Linked DNA regions of Rattus norvegicus. The protein of the gene in region 3 interacts with the protein of the main gene of each other region in a biochemical or structural test. Links are inferred from orthologs where the notes say so. Each region holds a gene or a part of one and is shown on either strand. Other genes may lie near its edges.

Region 1 (3,645 bases), on a different chromosome or scaffold from region 3:
ACAGAAATCCCTTTACCCCTTGGCTACATTATTAGGCTTGTCAAGAATTCCTTGTCAAGGAGAGTGAGTGAGCCCACCTTACCTTCAAGATGATCACCAACAGGCCAGCGCTCACGAGCAGAGGGATGAGACTACTAATGAACCAGCTAAACCAGAGGATGCCATTGTCCAGGCCCATGATGCGCATGGTCTCCTTCAACCGAGCCTCCTTCTCATACACAATGCTCTTGATGATCACAGCCACAGAGTAGATCCAGGCCAGAGTCATGAAGAGGGGCATTGAGCGGCTCATGACCCGCAGAAAACTGGAGGCACGGAAAAAAGGTATGAGAAAGAGGAAACAGTAAACCCGGCACTGATCCAAGACCTTGCACACTGAAGGAAAAACCACATCAGGGTTGCTCAAGAAAGGCCCATTGAACTCTCAAAGGGACAGATGTTTCGTTAGAGGTAGACAGAGATTCGAACCTGGGCTTCAAAGTATAGCCATGCAAATTTTCTTTAGGGACTCACTTTAATAACTAGGAAATGGTTAGGGTAATGTTAAGATAAAGGTAAATTACTTTACTAAGTACTAACACAAAGGGTAGGAGCAGAACCCAACCTGGTCTTTCTCTAAAGGTCAGTGTCTCTAGGATCTCCTATTGACTTGTTTTCCCTCTCATACCGTGTAGGACATGCCTATAACACACACTCTCTACAAGGACCTGGTCATCTAATGAAGATGTCGGCTTGTTGGTACACTCACATGTCATCAACATAACAGGGGTAGGGCATCTGTTGCACATAGACGCCCGTTTTCTTCTCAGTCCCCGTCAGCACTCTGATGATCGCCTGCTCCACCACATCCTGCAAGTAGGCGAAGCCACCCCAGACATAGCGCATATCTTCAAAAGGGTCAGCCCGGGGACCAGGGTCCCAGTACCTGAAACCAAACCTCAGGTGACGAAACAGTCCTACAAAGCACACCCTGAAAAATCCAATTCCCCCACACTTCCTTGGCCACTCTTCCTATTTTCTATCTCCCATTCTTATCACAGTTGACAAGTACATAGATTCTTGGTTAGAAATAGTCACAATGGACACTCCTTATATATATCCATACTCCTTATGGGTATATTTTTTCTTTTCACTTTACTAGTGACTAACACTGCATCTGCTGGACATACTGGAATTCCCTTACAAGCTGTCTGCCTCTTCTTATAAAAATATGTATGGCTAGCAAGGAGACCTAATGGCTTTCCTTTCTTTCTCCTGACTTTTAAGTCCTTTAGCTTAGTCTTTTGAACAGGAACATGGAAACAGAAAGACTAATATTTTATAGCCTTTGTATAACAGTCCTCAGCAATGGAGTTTTACCAAAGTCATGCCGTGGCTGATTTGTTGTTGACATTCCTCAATAAAGAACCACCAGTCATAAAAGTCATCCAAATTACGTTCTTGAGCTTTGCAAGACTGCGTTTCACCTTACCCATCCTTGATCTTATTGGTTCTCTCAACATTGTCAATGTCCATCCGGATCTTGTACTTTACATGGTGGGGCAGCTCCACACTATCAGGAGTGATTCCTGTGAACACGATACCAGCCCAGAACTTCCTCTCATCCAGCAGCTCCATGGACTTGTTGATGAGCCTGACTTCTGTTGGGATGGGCTCCAGCTTGTTCAGGTTGACACACTGACAGACAGAAGGAAACCTCATTAGAACTGGCAACCAGAAAGACAAGCAGTACTCAGCCTCCTTTGAGAGGCAGGAACTAGCCGCCTGTATTCTTAATCTGTACCGTCTCTAACGTAGTCTTCCAGGTTTCAGCCAAGCTTAGAACTGAGATTTGAGTGGAACACTGAAAGTTACTTATACTGCTTTGTGTGAGGGAATGACTCTCTTTAACAATTTTTATTCTCTTAGCAACATGTCTTAGCAAAGTCAAGTCACCGCGACTAAGCAACTAGAAATCAGATAAGAAAAGATTCTACTCAGCCTTTTCTCTTTCCATCATTTTTAGGATTAAAGATTTAAAGTTTTATCTGTCCCAAATTAGATTAGATAAGTTTCATAAATAATGCCTTTATAATAGAGCAGTTTATCATTAGGATCTAGAATATCAAAACAGAGGGAAAGCTAGAAGATAAGGATAGAAACACTGGGGTCGATCTGAACCAAAGCTAGACGTAAGCTTATTCGCTCGTTAAGCCATTCATCTAGTGTTTATCTTGCTCGCCAGGCCTGCAGAATATAGCTGTACGTGACACTACACATTCGTTCTAAGCTCTCCTTCTGCCTATAACTATTGCAACAGCTCAAAGGAAAAAAGGCCCCAGACTTTGCTAAAAGGTGTGCACAGCAGACCCTCACCTCCATGAATCGAGATATCGTCTGGATTGCCTGGTTGGTCTCATTGAAAGCTTCTCTCCATGTATACACAGAGCCATTTGGGGACTGAACATCCTCTGGGTTCTTGGCCAGAAATGCCATGATGTCTTGGGCAGTCCAATCTAATCCATCCAACTTTCGTTCCCAAAACTGGTCATTGCCTCTGCTGTCCAACATCGTCTGCCATTCCAGGAAGGAAATGTGAACACTGATCATCAGGTTCGTGGTAACGAGCACATTTGACCAAGATTGGAGTCTGACATGATTGATGTTGACCAAGGCTAAGGGATGAGCTGAGACACAAAGTCAGACCGCTGACTTTGAAGTTCACAGGCTTCCCACTGCACCAGACAGCTCACGTTAACTGTTTCAACTCTAACAAGAGCAATAGTAGGGTGCTGAGGGATCTATAGGCATCAGAACTTACACAACTCCATCAGAGTGTGGCTTTGGTACTGCCCCTCTCACGAACAGGAAAATGGAACTTCCGGGACGTTAAGGTAGCTCAGGAGCAGGAAAGTGGGCGTTGATTCCAGCACACCCACTGCACGGCACCCGCCTCTCTTTGATGGTGCCAAATAAAGCCCCTGTCTCTAGACCGAGCCCACTTTTAATGCTTAGTTCAGGGAGGTAACACTGCTGGTTAATCCAAATATAAGATGGTCTTCCTAACTCCAGGACACGGGGATGATACGAAGAAAAGAAGACCTGTTTCCCATCACCCATCAATGTGAAAAGGGTAAGCCATTCTGTCCCTCAACCAACCAGTCCAGGGGGACTGGGGTAAAAGTCTTCACAAATGCACTGCTGAGAAAGCGAGCCCACTGCTGACTGGGCAGAATGGAAACACAGCCACCATGCTCACTTCCCAGTTTCCAGGGGGAGGGGGAGGCCCTTGCTCTACTGAGCAGGATCTCCAAAAGCCTGAAACCCACACCTCCTTCATCCGTCTTCTCTTCACCAACCTTGCAAGCTTTCCCCCTAGGTGGCTTCCTCTTTGCTGTTTTAATGGTAACATAATGATTTCACAGAGTGCGTCTACCACAATTTCATTAACTACTCCTGCACTGCATAGCATCTAGTCTATTTCCAATTACTTACAATAACAATTATTTCAGTAATAACGTTTTCTCTCCCATGATGTAGGACGCATCCCCGGGGATGTGTGTGAAGCAAAGGTACAACAAAGGACACATTCATTCTAAGTGGGTTTCGAAACTCCCATTTCAAAGCGCTTTCCATGAGGGGATAAAACAATGACCCCTGTCACCA
Region 2 (3,645 bases), on a different chromosome or scaffold from region 3:
CACACCAGAAGAGGGCATCGGATCTCTTTACAGATGGTTGTGAGCCACCATGTGGTTGCTGGGAATTGAACTCAGGACCTCTGGAAGAGTAGTCGGGTGCTCTTAACTGCTGAGCCATCTCTCCAGCCCCATTGTTTTTGTTTTTTGTTTGTTTTTTTTTTCTACAAAACAAAATCTCTAAACGCAGAGTTCCAAAGATAAAGATTCTGTTCTTAACACGTCACCAATCTGACTCATACCCTTGTGTTAGTTGTAAACCTCTGTGGGTTGGGCTGCTAATTTAACTTCTTCATTCATAAATAAGAGGGTTTGCTGGGTTACCGTTGCGTATACCTGTAATTTCAGCACTTGAGAGGCAGAGGCAGGAAGACTATACGTTCAGGCCAGCTTGATCTAGAAGGGAGCCCTTGTGTCAAAAACAAACAAATTATCCCCCTACCTCCCAGACCCCTAAAACCTGACCAAACAATAAAAGGGGAGTAGAGTAAGCTAGGCCGTGGGCTTCCTCTTAAAGAGGATTCTTACTTTTAAATGTCCAGATCCCAAAGCCTGAAGAGATTGGGTTGCACCTCCATTCAGAGAACTGGGCCCAGCCCACTGCTTGCAGAGAACTAAGAAGCAGGCTGCAGAGACTTGAGCACTCTTTATCACGCACACTACATTGAACATTAAATCACTCAATGTGAAACTTCCTGCCGTAATCCTCCAATTTTTTTTTCCTTTGTTTTGAAATTTGTTCAGAGATTGGACCTGATGCTCCTTTTTTTAACTGGGTCATGATCCTGAGGCCCTTTCTTCTTATAAACTGCAATGTCTAAAGGGGTTTGTGTGTCGGCTACATGTGGACCGACTGCCACTGCTTTATTAGTACATCTGTTCTGTTAACAAGGTAGCCTACATTTTATGACTGCATTCCATAGTTTACTGAGCAGCGACTGCGTCTGCCCACTTTGGAGCTTACAACTTTGACTTTCTCTCCTCCAGGTGAAAGTTCCACATCCTGGTTACAGGGGTGTTCCCACAGTGCTAGCATATGTCACCTACATGACTCCTCCTATCACAGCACGGCATAAAGAGGACAATGAATCAAGGGCTTACACAGGGCCTGCCACAGGCCAGCCAGGCCTTCACAGCCAAGCCTCTACAGCCCTAGGAGACAGCTACTATAGAGAAAGCTAGGGGTCAGTGAAGCTTCACTGGCAGGGCAGCCGTCCTGGTTTGCTAAAGACAACAATTTCTGGGAGTTTCAGTGAGAAAACGGAATGTTTCAACCATGTGGGATAGCTTGTCACCTTACATGTTTGAGGGTTAAGGATTGATATGTACAACATTTGGAGAACAGTCATATTGAAGCCACAGTGTGGCCCTGATGCTTCCGGGGCCTCACAGCAAGGGCATGGATGGTGGTGGTAAAATCAATGAAAGAAGATTAGTTTGGGTTTGATTTGATTAAGGCTAGGACTAGTGTAAGGAAGCATAGGGAATCTCTCTCTCTCTCTCTCTCTCTCTCTCTCTCTCTCTCTCTCTCTCTCTCTCTTAGTTGCAAGGCATCTTGCTTATGCCACCCTAGCCTTGCTTGATATTCTTATCTCCAAGGAATACTGAGGCAGGGGTGAGGAGAAGACTTGGGCTCGGAGGATCTATTTGTTCCTGACCTGGGTACGTGTCTCAACAACTGGCCTTTGTATCCACAGCTCGTCCACAGAGGGTCTATACATAGGATTTCAAGGTAGTCAGGATAAGCTAAGTACTGGACTGAAATGAGTTGGCTAGGTCAATACACTCCTTCCAGAACTTTCTGTGATACTCAAAATGCTCTGACTTGGTGCAGTCCAGTAAGACAGCTACTGGACATATGTGGTTACTCAGGAGCAGGCTGTAGACGGTGGCTACTGTTGTGTCCATCTCAGATCCTTGGAGACTCTTAGGCCCTGCCATAGACTTTCTGAAGGTAGTATACATTTCAGCAAGGACATCTGGAGAACTGTACCCAGAGAAGCATGTTTGAGTGGTAAGCAGAAGTGTGAGGTCACAGAATACTCATTGACAGACCATACCTCAAGGGGCACAAAGGAACCACCCTCTGCTACCTCTCCCCGCTGCTCCCCTTGACCAGAGGGTGGTAGGGAGGTGTAGGGGTGGGCGATGGGGAAGCCACTTGTCATTAGGTATAAGACCCTTCTTGTGAGTAGAGCAGAATACATTAACCACTCTTCTTTACTGCAATCTTTACTGTGTATTTATTGCTCCATGCTGGGTCACAAGATTCTACAACCAAGCAGGGAACTGCCTAAAAGCAAACTCTGGGGGTGGGGGGATTCCAGGACAGGTGAAAGTTCTTAAGGCTGCCTTCCTGTTACATGACACCCCCACTCCCCAGTATTTGGATGAAAGAGACCTCAGGGCTATTAACCTTTCTACACTGGAGGAAATCTCTTTCCTTCAAAGCCCACCAGGTGTCCATAGATGCAGCTCCCTAGAGCTCAGGAGCCACCCAAGTGCCAGTCCTGCTTGATGTGGTGGGATGGAGGCTGCAGCAGCCAACACACGGGACAGCACTTCACATCTGCAATGGGAGGCGGGCTTAGCTACTCACCTGCCTTCCCGATCTGCACAGCCAGGCGTGTGAGCTTGCCCTGCAGGACCGACTTCTCCTTCTTGGGTCCCTTGCTTGCTTTCTTCTCCTTTTCCTCACTATCGAGCCCCTCCTGGCTGTTGAGTGGCTGGATTTCCAAGGCCACTCCATCCTGGGTTTTTGCTAGGGTAGACAGGAACAGAGGAAGTGAGCAGTCAAGGACAGAGCAGTGAACAGCAGGCAGGCGGAAGGCAAGATGTCCTTCTGTCCTCTTCCTGTAGTGATCCTAAGGCTCCTGAGTGCTCCTTGCCCTTGCCAGACACAGCACTCCACTAGGGACATGCCTAACAACTGGAGATGAGGCGGAAGATGCTTTTCAGGTCTGGATTTCCTCTTTACAACAACTTCCTGGCGCCCCTCAGAGCCACAGGCACAGGTTTATAGCAACAAGGGGATTAGTCACACCACTGAGGCCATCCATCCCCTTAGTGAGTGTCCTCTCTGGAATCCAGAGCTTAAAGCACTGAATGTTTACTGTAGAAAGCGACCAAAAGGAAGCTCTAGCCAATGTTTCTAGGAGAGAAGGTCCTAGCCTATTCGGTTAAAAAGCCCCTCTTCCCCCAGTCGGGGAAGAAACAGACACCCACCCCAGCCCTCCTAAGTTCAAAGTTATTTTTCAGTTTCTTATATAAGAAGGACAAGTGAATGAAGGTGGTGCAGAGCAAGCCCTGAATTGAGTATTCTGTCGGGGGCAAGAAAAGAAGCTCCTCTAAAGACAGAGTAAGGCAAAGCAGAGACGCACCGGCATGTCAAACCCAGGATTTCCCCTTCAGAAGAAGAATAAAGAGACCTGAAATTCAAGTTCTTTCTCCTGGAGCCCTGGTGCTCCCATAGGGTGACTGTTTCTGAAGAGTACTAAAGAGTGCTACGATGTGTGTACCGGGAAAAAAAAAAACAACTTTGGGAGCTGTCTCGGGACTACTTCCTGCGGCTGCTCCTCATCCCGTACCCCCAATGTCACTGTTTGCTTAGGAGCTGGTCTCTTCTGTCTGATGCACAAACAAGACGGA
Region 3 (4,233 bases):
TTCCCTCACACAATGCTGAAAATACATAAATTTTAAGGCCATTCAAAAAGACTTCAAATCACTGTCTTTTAAATAAGAAATCTCTTTTCAGACCGTTGCTGCATTTTAAACAAGACTCCAAAAAATATTTGACTTGAAAATAGTATAAAACCTAAAACTCACTAAGCTAATTTGATGCTAAATTTACCCAACTTTAACTGCAAAATAAATGCCTTGTTGAGGAAAAAGGGGGAATCAAAGGTTCACAAAGGTGGAACCTCACATTTTCAACATGTCAAAAAGCTAAACATACTACTCTTTCAAAAATAACCTACTTCTTTAAAGGGTGGGTGTGTTAAGTAGGCATTTTCAAGTGACATGATACTTTATACAAAACAGAATGACACAAAAACATCTTTGCAAAGTGTTCATTCTCTAAAAGACTTGCTCTATTAAGGCTCTGAGGCTGAAGCCAAGTAGAAGCCATAAAAGGAAAGCGAAGTTCAATGTCATTTATTTTGTTCCCCTCTTTCATGTGCTCAAGAATAACCTCTTTCGCTGCCTAATTATATGTCCCCAAATCATAAAGTTCACCAGTTATGCACTTTAAACTCCTTCATAAAGCAGTCTGACTTTTAACAGGAATAACTTGATGGTTCACAAATCTCACCAATAAAATAAAAATGAAAACAAAAACTCCAGAGACCAGGCCCTAATAACACAACAACATAAATACTGGAAACAATTCTCTTTTTGAAATGTACTTAATAAAAGCCAAATAGCCAAGAACAAGTTGTGAACTCACTTGATCCTGATCTATAAAACCTATCTTTCCTCTTTCAACTAAAGGAAGTCAACTCTTTCCCCTCAAGTTTCTGGTAATTATTTTGGTAATATCTGATTAAACATCAATTTAAGCTTAAGCTACATCTACCTATAGTTAATATTTATTTAAAACACAGTATTATCTGTCACTTCCCTTACCACAAAAGCACTTGGGGGGAAGAGGGGAAGCAAACAAACTACACTTACAAAGGCACACAATTGAAGCACTACTAAGGGAAAAGACAGTAGGGTAGACTGCAACCAAAACTAGTTTTACCCATAAAGAAGGTTTCATTGGTTCAGAAGCGTTCCTAAGTCTGACTGGTGGAATGTCTGCCATGCTTCACGAATTCCTGCCCGCACAGTCTGTACCTATCACTTATTAGGCAGAACCAAACAAAACCAGATGGGCCAACACGAAAAAATATGAGGACCATACATCTGCAAAACAGCGCCACTTTTTCGCACAATGTGACTCTCCTGAAAATCTTAAGGATTTTATTTCTCTTCCCTTCCAATGTTGTTCCTAATCGGAACGGCATACAAGTCCTGACTAATCAACTTCTTGCAGGTGTTTGGGTTTTGTTTTGGTTTGGTAGCCATATCCTTCTCCGTCTCTATCCATACTCTTTACGACATTCTGCTTCCTAGAACGCCAGTTTCAAGAAAAATTTAGCAGCTGCTCGTCCTCAATCAGGTAACCAAACAAGCACTGTAAGCTACGGACTGAAAAGAAGGCATGACTTACTACAAGTAGTTCCTTGGCCGTCCAGAAAAAGCAATCGAGAATGGCAGGCAGGCAGTTTCTTAAGTCCAAAGAAAAAGACGTGCCTTAAAACGACCTCCATGTAGGATTAACGCGAAAACCAAAACAATCCACACCAACATAAACAAATGTGGCAGCCATCTCAGTGAGAGCGAATCAGTCTCTCCCCGCAGCGAGACTTAACTTTCTTCCGAAACAAAAGTTGCCAGACTCAGCAACTTGATATACATTGTATACGTCCCGGAACACTAAAACTTCTGGCCCTTATGCTCAACAAAGGAACTCTTTCTTCCGACGGCTGAAAAACTTTTCGTCCCACCACATTCTTACAACCCCATCTTAAAAAGAAAGGAATCCAGACGGTAGACGGGGCAAGGGGGTAAATCAGTTTTACTATTCAGTTGCTAAAACGACAAGGCATTCCGACCAGGGAGAAAGAAGTCAGACAACTCGGGCAGAGCGAGGTAGACTAAAGTACCGTCGCTTCCGGCCCACGAACTTGGCTGGACGCTTCCCGTAAAAAAAAAATTACCTCTCCGGGTGTCTCAGGGCAGCCGTCCCGAGGCTCGGCTTGACATGGTTTCCTGCCCTTCCTCAGTGGCTCCGGGCCCCGCCGAGGCTCCCGCGAGGACTAGGCGGATGTGGAGCTGCCGCCCGCAGCAGCGCGGCTGCTTCGGTGGGGGCTGGGGTGCGGGCTGGCTTCCTGCTTGCGACTTCTGTCAGGAGTTTCCCAGCCTCGTCTAGGTTCTCCGCCGAAGGAAAAAACTTTTCACTCGTGACACCGCCCGGAATTGCCGTGCGAAACTCACTTCCTGCCTGGGTGAAAAGCAGGATCCAGCTCGGTGCCCGGGAACCCGGAACCCCGGGGCGGCGCGCCGCCGAGGGGGAGGGGACGGCGCCCGCCCCGAGCCGCGGGACCTTGCGCGGCCCACGGGGGCGAGGACGCGGAGCTCCGCTGGCCTGGGCCGCACTAGGCCTCCGCCCCCACAGCCGCGCCGCGCGGGTATTGTCTCGAGTGCGCCGGCCGCACCCTGCGCCCGTCCGGCCCCCGCCGCCCCGAGCCGGAGCCGACCGGCCGCGCAGGCTGGAAGGCGACCGTCGGTCGGGCAGTCCGACCGGCCGGCCCGGTCTCTGCCACTCCCGCTCTAACCCTCCAGTCTCCCCGCCGCAGTCCCTGCGCTCTCCCCGGTTCTCCTTCCCCGCAGCCGCGGTGGCGCGGTCTCCTCAGGAGCTCGCGGGCCCGCGCCAGGGGCCGAGGCTGCGTCGCGCGCCGCCGCGCCACCTTCACTCGAGCGGGAGACGGAGAGGGGAGGCGAGGCGGAGGAGAGAAAGGAGGAGGCGGACCCGGGCCGGACCGGGGTGGAGGGAGTTTCTGCCTCACAGGCCGCGGCGGCAACAGCGCCACCGCCCCGGCGGCTAGGGGGCCGAGGCTGCGCGCGGCGGCGGCGGCGGCGGCGGCGGGGGCGGCGGCGGCGGCGGGGGCGGGGCGGCCTCCCGCGGGGGCGCCCCAACCGCCCACAGCCGGGCGAAGGCCGGCGCGAGCCAGTCAGCGCGCACGGGGTCTACGCGCCCGACGTCGGCGGCGGGGGGCGCGGGCCGGGGGCCGCGGGCTGGCTGGGAGGCGCGCGACGGGAGGCCCGCCCCCCGAGGCCGGGCCCGCCGAGCTCCCCCGTACGACCCCGCGAGGCCTCCGCCGCCCCGGCCGATCGAGTTTCTTTGTACGATCGTAATTGGTGCAAAGAGGTTGTTCAAGTGCAGCCCCGATTTCCAGGCAGCAGGTATCTCTTTCAGCCGCAGCACTCCGACATCCTCTAATGGCACGCTCAGGTTGCAGGAAACCACGGCCGCGGCTCCGTGCAGCTTCTTTCCACGCCGGGCCGGCCTCCGAGCTTGCTGGAAGCGGCGACGCGCCTGGGGCCCCTCCGAGGAGACAAAGCTGGTGCTGGGAAGGGGAGCGGGGCCCGCGAAATTGCCTCAAGACGGTGCCTTTGTTAGAGGAAACATTGGATGCACTCCGAGCGCTGCGCAGCCTTCCAGCCCCTACGCTTTCGGGCGTGCAGTCGTTCAGTCGCGCTGGCCCTGGTAGTTCTGCCTGGCAGGGTTTGCGTTTATTGCAGAGAGAGACTTAAGCATTCTGTCAACACATATGGCTTAGAAAGCTTCAACCATAACATTGCCGTTTTTACAGTTACTGCTTTAAGTATGTTAGCAGACAGAACATCCTTGTTTTACCCGAGGGAATGGAATAGATTCTGGGCAAACCATCGTCCACCCCCACTCTTCTGTATTAACTATGCACAGGGATGGTAATTAGCCTCTGGGTCCTTCAAGCCACTGGTTCAGTACTTCCGTCTGTAGCCCAGAGATAATTATTCATCACCAACTTTGAATAAAAAGCTATATGCCTTACAGATGAGTTTTGGCTTGCATCCAAGGGAATGAGTTCACGAAGTCCACCAAAGAATTATTTACTAAAGTGAGTTCTACGCCAGAGACGAATACTTGGAATAACTCCAAAGATATTCAAGTCATTTTGAATCGAAGTGGAAGCATTTTAGCTACCCCCAAAACTGCTAGTATTAACACGAACATAAGATTCTTAGCACAGAGGACAGTGGTATCAGGCCTCTGAAAACATTTGACAACAGCCCTGGGAATGGCAG

Evidence for each region.
Region 1: the proteins of Erbin (region 3) and Abca1 interact in a test that uses a peptide from one of them, tested with the Homo sapiens proteins (2 studies listed by BioGRID and IntAct). The link is inferred for Rattus norvegicus from reciprocal best matches to the Homo sapiens genes ERBIN and ABCA1.
Region 2: the proteins of Erbin (region 3) and Atp2b4 interact in a test that uses a peptide from one of them, tested with the Homo sapiens proteins (2 studies listed by BioGRID and IntAct). The link is inferred for Rattus norvegicus from reciprocal best matches to the Homo sapiens genes ERBIN and ATP2B4.

Annotation. Positions count from the first base shown.
Region 1 is NC_086023.1:72,519,885-72,523,529, forward strand, and holds part of Abca1 (phospholipid-transporting ATPase ABCA1), read right to left. Parts: intron 2,554-3,645; coding exon 2,356-2,553; intron 1,678-2,355; coding exon 1,472-1,677; intron 926-1,471; coding exon 749-925; intron 306-748; coding exon 83-305; intron 1-82. UniProt on the Homo sapiens protein: Catalyzes the translocation of specific phospholipids from the cytoplasmic to the extracellular/lumenal leaflet of membrane coupled to the hydrolysis of ATP.
Region 2 is NC_086031.1:47,738,288-47,741,932, forward strand, and holds part of Atp2b4 (plasma membrane calcium-transporting ATPase 4), read right to left. Parts: intron 2,759-3,645; coding exon 2,597-2,758; intron 1-2,596. UniProt on the Homo sapiens protein: Calcium/calmodulin-regulated and magnesium-dependent enzyme that catalyzes the hydrolysis of ATP coupled with the transport of calcium out of the cell. By regulating sperm cell calcium homeostasis, may play a role in sperm motility.
Region 3 is NC_086020.1:36,759,283-36,763,515, forward strand, and holds the start of Erbin (Erbb2 interacting protein), read right to left. Parts: upstream 2,872-4,233; 5' UTR 2,103-2,871; exon of another isoform or gene 1,553-2,102; intron 1-1,552. UniProt on the Homo sapiens protein: Acts as an adapter for the receptor ERBB2, in epithelia. By binding the unphosphorylated 'Tyr-1248' of receptor ERBB2, it may contribute to stabilize this unphosphorylated state.